Linked DNA regions of Drosophila melanogaster. Changing the gene in region 2 together with the main gene of any one other region gives a genetic interaction. Each region holds a gene or a part of one and is shown on either strand. Other genes may lie near its edges.

Region 1 (4,751 bases), on a different chromosome or scaffold from region 2:
ACTATAAATCGGTTCACCTACAAATCAACGCGCTTGCCTTTGAAGAAGGCTATGCCTGGAAGATAAAACATAGTTTTGAGGTATGCTCACGACATTCAACCTTTTATAACATATGATGTATATCCCACAACATTGCAGGATAAGGCGGAGGAATTTAATCTGGAATTTGAGACACTTCCCGCATTGGATTCTGAGAAAATGCTGCCTGAAATGGGACCTTATTTCCTGGCCGAGTTACCCGACGATAGCACACTTATAACGCGGCAAATGAAACACTTTCCCATTCATTTCGCAAGGTGCGTTAACTTCTCGATTTAAGCTACCAACTCTTGACTAAACTCATTTTTTCAGGGACGTGTTCTGTTCGGAGAATCTTCTTAACTGCGATGAAAAAGTGAACTGGAAGGATTGCCTTCTCGATAAGGACGAAGAAGTGGCGTATGTGGAAGATTTCCGAAAGGCTTTTGCGCCCTTTGATTTTACAGACGATTAAGCAAAGAACATTGTATGTATAGTAAAAAGTTCATATCGGTTGTAATTGCTGAGCCCTTGCTAACAGTTCATCCATGTAAATGCTAAAACTACAATTTAATTAAAAACGTATCCGTAAAGTCGTTGCGCTTGAGTAATTTAGGAGTCACGTTGGTAGATTTTGTTGAGTATTTGCAGGAAGGTCTGGTGAGGCACCCCGCGTGAGGTTTGTTGTATGTGCGTTTTAATCATGTTGTAGGATTCCTCCTCGAAAATGGCATAGGTGGATGGCAGTCCAAGTTCCTTGTACAGTTCTTTCACTCGCTCCACTTTAGCTGGTTCTGCAGGTTAATATTCAAAAGTCAATGTCTAATTGTGCGGGTTTGCTAAGCTAGTTTTACCTTCTTTGCCATAGCAATCGACCATGATTTGCTTTTGCTCGACATTGGCTCGCTGCATTGCCACCACTGCCAGCCACGAGCACTTGTTGTCCTGAATGTCGGTTCCAATTTTACCAGTCACTTCCGGATTACCGAAGCAGTCGAGGAAATCATCTTGAACCTGGAAAAAGTTGCCCATTTCTAGGAGAATGGTCTTCGATTGACGGAAGGCCTCTGCGTCTTTATAGCTAAACAATAGAGCGGAAGATTAATAAGCGGAATCTTATATATGTATGGCCATTACTTACCCAGCCAAGTGCAAAGCAAGTGCGAATGGAAGGTAGAAGGAGTAATAGGCAGTCTTATTTTCGACAATTGCTTTGTAGTTTTCCATTGTGAATTCCGAGACACAGCGGTTCGAGTTCAGTTGGTCCAACGATTGTCCGCAGGTAGTGATGTATGTGATTTCGTGGAAGAGCTCCATTAGGGCGACATAGCAGTCCAAGTGGCTGAAGTGCTTCTTGAGAATGGCATACATGGCGTTTTCAATCATAAGAGCATCGTTAATGGCAGTCAGGCCCACGTTCTCCACCTTGTGCCAGCAGGGTTGGCCGCGTCTGGTGGTGCTGTTGTCCATCACATCGTCTGAGATGATGAAAAAACTTTGGAGCTGAAAAGATGATCGATAACTTTGTATTAGGAAAACTATTTAATGCATAAAACTCCTACCATTTCCACACACCAGCCCAGATACTGGGCGAGCTTTATGTTCTCCGGCGTAAGATCCTGGGTGGGCACTAGATTCTTATACGTGAGCACGGTGAGGATGCCGCGGTTCTTCTTGCCCCTGGGCACATTGTACTGGAGGACTTGGGCGAACCATTTGGCTGCGTCGCTGCAATTGTATGCCTTCGTCACGGTGGTGATGTCACGCACAAGATCTGCACATCGAAATATAATTAGCATTAGTATTTGCATGATAATTGTTACTGGGCATAAATAAACAAATCTCACCTGGGAACACGGCCATAAAGTCGCGACTCTCATCTTTCGACACCGTGACGCGAGCGGCAATGGGAACCGAGTGATTTTGGAGCGTCGATAAGGTTCTGTGGACAAAACAAAAGTCAAGAACAATAGAGCCCATAACTGACACCACCAGGCAGGCACAAATACATACACACACACATGCACGCATCTATGGTCTACGTGACTGCATAAGCGGCTCGATACAAACTTTCTCCCCCACTTGAAATCAAGAAAAAAAGACCCCGAAACTCCTTTTCGAAAATCACGCCCAAAACAGGCCTCCGATACATGCATACCATGCCCATGCCCATACCGGTCGAAATGTAAACAAAACAAACAGGCAAGGCAAAGGTCAAGTGCGAAAACCGGTAGATTGATTACCTGCTAGTCTTCTTCAGCTTCTGTTCGTTGACCAGTTCGGTGGGGAGGCCGCCAATGGTGTCCATGGACTTGATGATGGGCTCTGCGTTGACCTCGTCGCTGGTAGAGATCAGGCGTTGCAGGCGCAGCGGGCTGGCCAGGATCCGCTGCTGCGGCAGGAGCATACGGGCCAGTTTAAACATTTTTATTTAAGATTATCGGCAGGTAACTATCCGCTTCACAAAACGGCAATTCAACTTCGGGTACCAAATTGCCAGTGTGACTGAATCTCGGTTCGCAAAAGAACCCACCTTAAAATTTCAAATAACCATAATACGTTTATAGCAACTATTTTATAGCTGACTTTTATTTTTCGAGAATTTTGTGAAGGTAACTTATAAGTTAAATTTTTAAACATTTTTATTTAGTAAATTCAGGAACAGCAAATGATTTACTTTTGCTGAAATTATTAATTTTATTGCGTGTTAATTAATTAAATGCATTACTATATATAAATCAAAATGCTGACGAATTTAAACATGATGCAAATTGTCGAATATATTTCGATATCAATATCTTCAAATTATATTTGACACTCTGCTGCTACATTTTCGGTCACACTGTTTCGATGTCCCATGAACAGTGTTGGAAATGGCCTGACATACACCAAAGGCAAATTGGCAGCTGAAAACACGAATTAAACTAAAATGATGGATGAGCAGCTAATTGACGAGGTAGCGCAGCACGGAGTGATCTACAACCGGCAGAAGTACTACCTCAACGGCGGCGCCAATGGTGGCAAGTACGAGACGAAGGACGAGGCCTGGCAGCTGATTGCGATGAAGCTGCGCACGGATGGTGAGGAAGACGCGCTCCTCCGGCAGATCCTCTATATAAATGTTGCCCTCCTTTCCAGTGGACACGTGCAAGAAGCGGTGGAAGTACCTACGCGAACGCTACGTGTCGCAGCGGAAGCAGGGCGATCCACCTGTCTACGAACACCTGTCGCGTCCATACCTGGAGAAAATGAAGTTCTTGGACCAGCACATCCAGCCGCGCAAGTCCTACCGCCATGTGCCGAACTTCCTAACATCTCCACAGTCCGCCAACAGCTCCGGCTACAACGAATACCAGGTTGATAAGTCCAATGGCTCCATGAAGAATGTGTCTCAGTTTGGCAGCTCAGGGCAAAGTCATCTTTACCACCAGCCGGATCAGCAACACGCAATGAGTGCTCTGAGTAACGTTGCTGCATCTGCGCTGGAAAACGTCAATGGCCAGGTGAAGATCGAGGCGGACCAGGTGTTCAGGGATTTTGCGGCTGCCGTGGCCTCACAGCAGCTCCAGCACATATCACAGTCACAAATGCAGCAACAGGCGGCGGCCGTTGCAGCTGTAATGGCTGATTCCTCGCAAGGTTATCAGGATCAATACAAGGATGGCTCCGTGGGCATGAACGGGGCCCAGAACAGCGCTGGCAGTCTGACCTCAACATCATCCTCGATGAAATCACCGCTGTCGTCGCCGCTGCAAGGAATTGGGGCAGGATCCCATCATCCTCAGCAGCAGACGCAACAACAACAGCAGCAGCAGCAGCAACAAGCGCAGCAACAGTCGCCGGCATCTGAACAGCAGCTTCCGGTGGTACATTCCTCTTCCAGCGCCACGGGCGCTTCCATCGGCAACAGTTCCACTCTGCAGATGCAACAGTCACATGTCTATAACCCCAAGGGCGATGGTCTAGACTCTTCGTCATCGAGCCATTTCCATATGAAGAAACCCCGTATTCAACTAAATGGCAATGCCCATAACCAGATGACCAGCAATGGTAGTCACTTTGGCAATGACTCGGACGACGAATCCGATGAGAACAGCCATGATCTGATGGAGCCGCAGGCTATGATGCAGCAGGAGAATCACTACAGCAATTCGATGCCCATGCAGCGGGGCAATGGAAATGGGAATAACAGTAGCAGCAATAGCGGGAGCAACAATCCCAGCGGCAATAATAGCCACAACAACCAGCAGCAGCAACAGCACCAGAACATGTTTCCGTCAAACACGGACTTCCTTTTCCAGTTATACCAGCAGTTCCCACATCAGGCCAGCAGTTCGCATCCCGCAAACTTCGGGAAATTCCAGGCGCCGCCCAATCATCCGGGTGTGCAGCGGTTGTCTGAGCATTTGCTGGGAGAATTAGTCACCACGGAACTGCTGAAAATGAACAAGGAACGGAAGAAAAGTGCACAGAAACGGATCCTAGAAATACTATTCTTCGACGATTAAAGGGCTAGCTACTAGGTATTTGTAAATAATGTAATCTATTATCCTTAACTTATGTTATTCGTTAGACGGTTGTCAGATAATAGTAATTGCATCGCTTTGGTCAAATTTCCCACCAATGAGTCATTTGCAAAGCTCTACGTTCTACCGAACACTTTTCAAATGTGCTAGTCAAGACCAGCAATTGGGATTCCATATCTGCATTAATTTATGTTTTTTTATATATGT
Region 2 (7,772 bases):
CACGCTGCTGCTTCTGGGCTCTAGTGCCCAGTGGCGAGGGACGCACCAAGGAACTGGCAAAGTCATTGAACCACTCCAGGTGATCGACGGACCTCTTGTGCCTTATCTGCTCCGAAGCCTTGGATGGCGTTTCTAAGCCATTGGCCGTACGTTGAATGACCAACTTTGTGGAGGGCTTGTAGATGGTTATGTTTGAGCGACGATTTCGAGGCGACTGCATTGAAGTGCTGGCGCTCCTGGCCACCAGATCTCGCTTCTGCTCGAACTGCTGTGCGTTGCGCACAAAGCGATTGCTGCTCGGTCCCTGGATGACGATTTCGAATGGTAGATTCAACGTCTTGGCATTCATCTGCATGGTGCGAATGCACTCAGTATCGGATTGGTCGTCATTACACTCGCACAGGCACTCCTCGCCGCAGTAGAAGCCCAAACAGCCGCAATGCTCACACAGCGCCTTGCAATTCTTCTCGAGCTTCGACTCCGTCAGGGGATTCACATTGCGACTAGCTTTCGTGGATGTGGCCAATGTCGATGGCGGTTTGGTTGTCGTGCTGGACACTACACTTGCTTGGAACTGAATAGCAGCCAGTAGAAGTATCACCGTATAGCCACTGAGGCTGCTCTTCCGTATCTTTTCCGTCATCATTGTGGGTGCTCCAGTTCAAACTGTCTGGCCAATTGCGATGCGCAACCGATTTTATAACGCTGACCAGGTGAAATCGTAGATGTTCGTGACTGACAGTTGATTCTAGCTTACAGTTCGCCGGAATTTATGCTGACTTCGTGTGATCTTGAGACATTTCCCAATTGGGTTCTCTAATTGAGTTCTTTGTGCCGGTTTTTTTTGGCACACTTCGGCGTGCCAAGGCCGAATTCCCGCACTTGAACTTGGCCCAGAACACACATAAATCTTTGTTTACAGCGTTTATTACAAAAGAAACCAAACAACGAGTTGCCACTGAAGTCATTAGCGGCGCTTGCCCTTTCCCTTCTTGCCGCCACCACCACCCCCAGATCCGGATGCATTCGACTGTGGCTGCGACTGCTGGTGGTACGAGTCGCCGGATTTGTTCTGTCGCGTCTTCAGCTGCGGTATCTTGCTGGCGATATGCAGCATGATGGACTCGCGCGTGGGAAAGTCATTATTGTACAAAGTGCCATCGACATTACGCAGCTGGACGCGCACACGACCACGGAACTCCATCTCGCTGCTGTTCTCGCGACAGTACTTCTTGTTCTCCATGAGGAACTGCAAGTTGGAAACGGACAGCACATCGCGAATCTCAATATAGCTGGGATTGTCTACACAGTTCTCCTTGGGCAGCCGTCGACCCTCCTGGCGTGTCTTTTTCCTATTGATGTAGGCGGGATATATGCAAATCCATCTGTGTTAACAACAATAAGAGTTACATGCGAAATCGAACTTTGTGTTTTGTTGGCCAGTGCCTGGTTCCTACCGCTCCATATCGTTGTGTTTCATGCTGGGGCTCCAGTTTTTTTTCATGGGAACTGCTGTCGCCATTCTTTCAGTGAATTCTTGGTTGGTTTATTGCAATTCCTGTGTAATTAACAAAAAATGAGCTAGAAAGCTATTTTCCACGCAAGCAACCCAATTGAAATAGGGATGGCACGTGCAGCTGGCCGAGTAATCGATATTTAGCGAGGAAGCCAATAATTATATGGCTTTTTCTGGCTACTACGTAAGAGGTTATTTATAAGCGACTTAAATTAAAAGAGTACATGAAATAAATTATTTTAGGTAATTTTAATTTTTGGCTTATCTGGTTTAATAGAAGTTGGCGGAAAATAGCCAACATCTATTAAGCCACATTTCCCATCTCTTGTCATATCGATGATACCTCTACAAAAAGCCCTCCTAACCCTATCGATAGAAACATCGACTTGCGATCATCTCCAATATGCAGGCCGCGGAAGAACTTCAATAACAGTCTGTTTTTGGTCTTTCCGTGGTGTAATTGATTTGAGTTGTGCGGATAACGCGAAAAACCAATCGACGAGCGTCGGCCAGCAATTCTAGTCACGCGTGTCGCGAAGCCAAGCGGTAAACAAAAAGCACGCCCCACACCGCAGTGACCCCCCTCCATCAACACCAACACCACCACCCCCCGCGCTCTATCAAAACAACAAAAGCACACACGCAAGGCCACGGCGGAGCAGCAACAAGAAAAACAACAACAACGGCGACAACAATGGAAGAACTGAACATCATATTACAGAAGACCAAAGATAAATCAACGCAAAAGGAGCAGGATGAGGTACTTATCCCACGGCTTAATCCTTCCGGACCCCGTGAACTTTGACATTCGAAAGTGGCAAGCGAACGAGAGACACAACAGCAAACTAACCAGCTATTTTGGCCTTCCTTCCGTTCTCCTTCTTTTTCGACCCACTTCATTTTGGGCTTTATTTACATGTGGCCCACGCACGCAAAACGCTATCCAGATTCTGCTGCAGCCCTTTACATACATACAACAGATTCCTGGCAAGCAATTCCGCTCTGAGTTGGCCTTGGCCTTCAATCACTGGTTGCTCATACCGGGCGAAAAGTTGGCGCAGATCGGAGACATTGTGCAGATGCTGCACAATTCCAGTTTGCTGTGAGTATATATCAATTATCTGATTAATAGCCCTATATCAGATTAATAGCACGCCAATAAATCAGCATGAAACTACAGACAATGCAGTGTTTTTGGCCCAAAAGTGTATATACTGCGTATATACTCTATTAAAAAGTTTAGCAAAGTTAACTTAAGCGATAAATATTATCATAACAAAGTACTGACTAACTGGCATATCAATATTAAAACAAAATATTTTACTAAAATATCACAATACATACTTTTGTACTCACTAAAAATATGTCTGTAAGAAACCATATAAAATCAGCGCTAGTTTAAATACCTGTCGATTTATTGCCAGCCAACTAATCATGCTAGTCGTGCTTTACTTTTTAGTTTTGACCTTTGCCTTCCTTCGTTTTTCTGCTCCCCATTATTTGGCTTTGTTTACGCTTTGTTTGTGCCCCCCCCCCCCCTTCAAACACAAAACACCCGAACGTTTGACCCCCACCCCGTTTTGGCCACTTCTCCTGCATGTTTTATCTCAATTCACACTTGCAGAGTCTGTATTTGTATACATTTGGCTTATTTGCTTTCGTTCAGATGGATTCCAGTTAAATGCCTAATCGAGTGTAAAGTTCTTTTGGGCAAGTGATGAAAACAGTAGAGACTCCACGCTCCAAAAATGTGAAAATGCTGCCATATGCTCGTTGAAGAAACTCTTATCATCATCAGCTCAGTTCGTTTCCACAACGCGCATATGTTATATAGAACTTTGCTTTATCATTTCGTTGACTCACTCGCACTCTTTTCCCAATTGGATTTGACCATATACACAGTCTCGCACATTTGTGGATTATTTGGCCAGAGCGTTGTACGCTGGCCTCAAATCAATTTTCAAATTTCATCATGAGCCCGCAGGTTTCTCTGTTTACAATTGAATTTCTTTGCAATCCAATGTGGATTCGGAAATTGCATAAATTATTTAGATTTTTCCCCCAGGGCGGCCTACGGAGGAAAAGCGATGAATAAGATGATGTTGGCTTGCCAACAAAACAGTCGCAATTAAACTTTGAACTCAGCCAATTGAAGTGTCTGCGCCGCTTTTCAATTGAAGGCAGTAAAGTGAGTCGAAGTGACCAGGGATTTTCGCCTATCTTCAGGCAGCAGCTATGGAAGTATTCATCTCGCTTTCAAGCTAATCCCGTCCTGCCTCCGGCCACCTGTCGCCATTAACCATTCGGAGGCAAACACTCAGGAATGGCCTTAATTCTGCTTAAAATCCCCAGCATTGTTCCTCGAGACAGCAGGCAGTCTCATTCCTCCGCCAAGTGGCCTGCATGTTCTTGGTGTTCCCTACTTTTTTTTTTTTTTTTACGTTTTTAGTAATGCATTTTCATATTGGCAAAAAACTTAGTTTTTACAACGACGCCAGCAGTTGCAGCCATAGTGCCTCCTCGTACGACCCTCGTCCGTCCGTTCGTCATTCATGCACTTATGCCCATTGTCAGTTAGTCAGGCCGTCGCCAGTCGACAGGCATTGTCACAACTCTTGCCACGCAGCCCATTTTCCTCATTTTCCCCAACACCAACCAGCCTCCTTTGCACCCAATCCCCATCCCATACCATACCATTCCTCATCCCATCCTTTCCATATCCCGGCCCCTTTGTGCGTTGTCGCTTCAACGCCCACGCCTTCGTGCCAAGCCATCCAATCCCGTCCCGTCCCCATACCATCCATATTCCCTACCAATGACTTTGCCAGCTTTGGCGGAGCGCAAACATTTTTTAATTACGCAAATGTTGGGCTGCCCAGCTCGTTTTACCCGCCGGGCATCGTAGTTATTGAAGCGATGGCGGCCTTTAAGCGAGGCTTAAATTTACACATCCATTATTTTGGTGGAATGAGGAGCGCCAACGTATGTTTATAAATATGAATGTGGATGGTGGACACATGGAATCCGCGGCTCCCTTCGCTCGAATTGTGAAATTCTATTTAAAAACCCATACTTTTCTATGCAGTACGTGTTCATATAGTGCAATTCTGAATTAATTGCTATACAAAAACATCTGCTGATAAGTAAACTATTGAATCTTAAAACCAAGAACATATTTTCACATTTATTCTAATTTCAAAACATTACTGGCTCGAATTCTTTCTTTGCTAAGTTGATTGTAAGGTAGTAAAATTGTAGTATCTAATGCTTGAAAGTATATTAAGCTTGAATACAAGTACACAATTAACTCACGGCAAATTATATACATGTATGTTCTTGATACTAACTTACAGCATTGATGATATTGAAGACAATTCGATCCTTCGCAGAGGTGTGCCCGTGGCGCATTCCATCTACGGCGTGGCCAGCACCATAAATGCGGCCAACTATGCACTCTTTCTGGCGCTGGAGAAGGTGCAGCAGCTGGATCATCCGGAGGTACGCAAATCCACCTCTACTATGAAGCTCAAAGTAATCCGCGTTTCTTGCAGGCTACCAAGGTGTACACCGAACAATTGCTGGAGCTGCACCGTGGACAGGGCATGGAGATCTATTGGCGCGACAGCTTCACGTGTCCATCCGAGTCGGATTACAAGCTGATGACTGTGCGCAAAACTGGCGGCCTCTTTATGCTGGCCATTCGCCTTATGCAGCTGTTCAGCTCCAACAAGGAGGACTATTCGAAGTTGACGGCTATATTGGGCCTGTACTTTCAGATACGCGACGACTATTGCAATCTGAGTCTGAAAGAGGTGAGTGTATAGATTGGTTGGCAATATGCATAAGTCATTGTTAATCTGTGATAACATTCCGATGTAGTACACGGAGAACAAGAGCTTCGCCGAGGACTTGACGGAGGGCAAGTTCGGCTTCCCGGTAATCCATGCGGTTCGCACCCAAAAGCAGGATAAACAGGTTCTACGTAAGTCCAACGTCTTGACCTCAACCAAAGGCTTTTCACTCATTAAGCTGATGGCTTATGGTTATATCCACAGACATATTACGCCAGCGCACGCACGACATTGAGGTCAAGAAGTACTGCATCACCTTGTTGGAAAAGCTGGGCAGCTTTCAGTATACACGCAAGGTTCTGGAGTCGCTCGACGCAGAGGCTCGGTCGGAGGTTAGTACTTGAAGACAAGCAATGGGAAGTGGAAGTTGCTTGGAAGTCTTGATGATGTTAAAAGTAGAAATTCGCACACATCCCATCGTTGCTACGTGTTTTGTGCTAAACTAAAGTAATCTCTCAACCCACACAGGTGGCTCGTTTGGGTAGCAATCCGTACATGGACCGCCTGCTCAACAAGCTGCTGTCGTGGAAGACGAGCGATAGCGCCAGCATCACGCAGTCGAACCAGATCAATCACAACAACGTCTCACGCAGCAGCCCCAACCAGAACACGCTCAATTGCAATTAGCAGCCAAAGAGGCAAAAGAGGGAGCAGTCGTGAATTGCGAACGGCAGAGCCTCTTTTGCCGCCAATCCGGGACAGCAGCAGGCCAGCAGCCAGCCGACGCCTGCGTGCCTCAGTGCGCCCCTGTTGCGTTTCCTGCAGAAGCTGAAGATATTCTGAGATTTATGTTACCCTTTGCCAAACCGAAAAGCCCACAGAGAACCCCTACCTTACTGTCAACCGAAACCAGAGCGATGAGAACGGAAATAGGAGGAGGATAGGATTTGGATTTGATAGTGAATCGGATGAAATGGGATGGATAACAAAACCAACAGCAGCCTTACAGAAAATTGTTAAGCCAAAAGTAAATTGATATAAGCCAAGCTTATCGTTGAGCTAGCAAAGAGCCATATTACAGCTTTCCAAGAATTTGTTTTTTTACTTTTACATTTTACTTTATACTTTTAATTTAGTTTTGCTTCAAAGTTACGTAGTTAGTTAGCTCGTTTAGTTTCCCCAGTTTTAGTTTCGCCCAACGAATGGGAGAGGGGGGGGGGGGTGGGGATCAAGCAAATCTCGCAGAGCATTACTGAATTATAGAATATGCAATTTTTTAGCTCTTGTATTTCTAAGTGTGTTTCGTATTCGTAACTCAATTCTGCAAGCAATTTTCAATTTCTAAGTGTCATTTTATCAAATCTAACTCACTCGGAACTCAATGTGCACTTCCTTTATCGACGTTGTTCCATTTTAATTGTTATACAAATGCGATTCGTATACATACATACATATGTACTATTAACGACAAATTGTTAATGTTTTATGCAGACACTATAAAATCAACACAAATGAACGCAACTATATATATTGAAATAATGATAATGATGCACTGCACGGCAGGTTTTTGCACATTGCACCACCTAAAAAATATATACATATATTATATATAAAAATATATATATTTTTATTGTAGTTATACACATGAAAGAAACAAAAAGAAATAAACGGCAAGAGAAACCGGAAAAATAACAAGAAAATTAACCAGATTGCTGAAGTGGAAATGGAAAACTATAAACTATGCGAACATTTTACGGTAGAAACGACAACTAATAGCCGAGAATTTACAGTGCACGCCCAGATGCAGCTAAACGCAAACGCACCTAACATTTTGCCCATATACTATATACTACTAATGAAAACATTGAAATATATGTAAATGTATTTAAATAAATATTTATGCCAAGTTGTCAACTAAAGTTTAAGTGTCGGGGATCATTTACAAATAGTCGCCATATCGGCATGTTAACTGCTTATCCAGAATTATACATTCATTTAGAAAGAATACATTTTTAATATCCATTTCTTAACCTAGTAAAAATAGGTTTCCTAACTGTTTTAAATGTGTATTTAAATAGAAAACAATGTAACGTAGAAATACGTTATTGTATGCTTGGTATGTACATAAGTTAGTCATAATTACTTATCCATTAGCTTTTGTTTTCAGGAGACTAAGAGTCCTGCTCAATCATATCCATCAGCTGCAGAAACTCCTGGGAAGCGCCATCGACCTCGTTTTCCCCATCGCCATACTCCTCATAATCATCGTCGTCCTGCATGAAAACCAAATTTTTGAGTAATGGAACAAATGCCAGCTAAAGTTTTTGCAACTAACCTCGAAACCAAAGCAGTTTTTGGCACTGATCTTGGAGTTGGCGCTCGGTTCGTGCTTGACCAACACCTCCTCGTCGCCATTAACCAGCTCTACGACCATTACCTCGCCATCATCCCCTTGCCATTCCACG

What was found.
Region 1: of qm (region 2) and Fpps, changing one enhances a phenotype caused by changing the other (phenotypic enhancement), as found in Drosophila melanogaster (one study listed by BioGRID).

What each region holds. Positions count from the first base shown.
Region 1 is NT_033778.4:11,305,000-11,309,750, forward strand, and holds Fpps (farnesyl pyrophosphate synthase), read right to left. Parts: upstream 2,530-4,751; 5' UTR 2,444-2,529; coding exon 2,262-2,443; intron 1,961-2,261; coding exon 1,866-1,960; intron 1,793-1,865; coding exon 1,581-1,792; intron 1,522-1,580; coding exon 1,160-1,521; intron 1,100-1,159; coding exon 873-1,099; intron 813-872; coding exon 631-812; 3' UTR 512-630; downstream 1-511. Other genes in the region: CG7741 (uncharacterized protein), read left to right, coding at 1-80, 139-296, 352-493; CG7745 (uncharacterized protein), read left to right, coding at 2,948-3,098, 3,157-4,526.
Region 2 is NT_037436.4:7,346,400-7,354,171, forward strand, and holds qm (quemao), read left to right. Parts: upstream 1-1,913; 5' UTR 1,914-2,210; coding exon 2,211-2,276; intron 2,277-2,463; coding exon 2,464-2,618; intron 2,619-4,004; exon of another isoform or gene 4,005-4,403; intron 4,404-4,869; coding exon 4,870-5,014; intron 5,015-5,067; coding exon 5,068-5,328; intron 5,329-5,395; coding exon 5,396-5,498; intron 5,499-5,571; coding exon 5,572-5,699; intron 5,700-5,835; coding exon 5,836-5,994; 3' UTR 5,995-6,334; exon of another isoform or gene 6,335-6,943; 3' UTR 6,944-7,223; downstream 7,224-7,772. Other genes in the region: CG14834 (uncharacterized protein), read right to left, coding at 1-646; Srp19 (signal recognition particle 19), read right to left, coding at 968-1,385, 1,458-1,522; CTCF, read right to left, coding at 7,479-7,580, 7,643-7,772.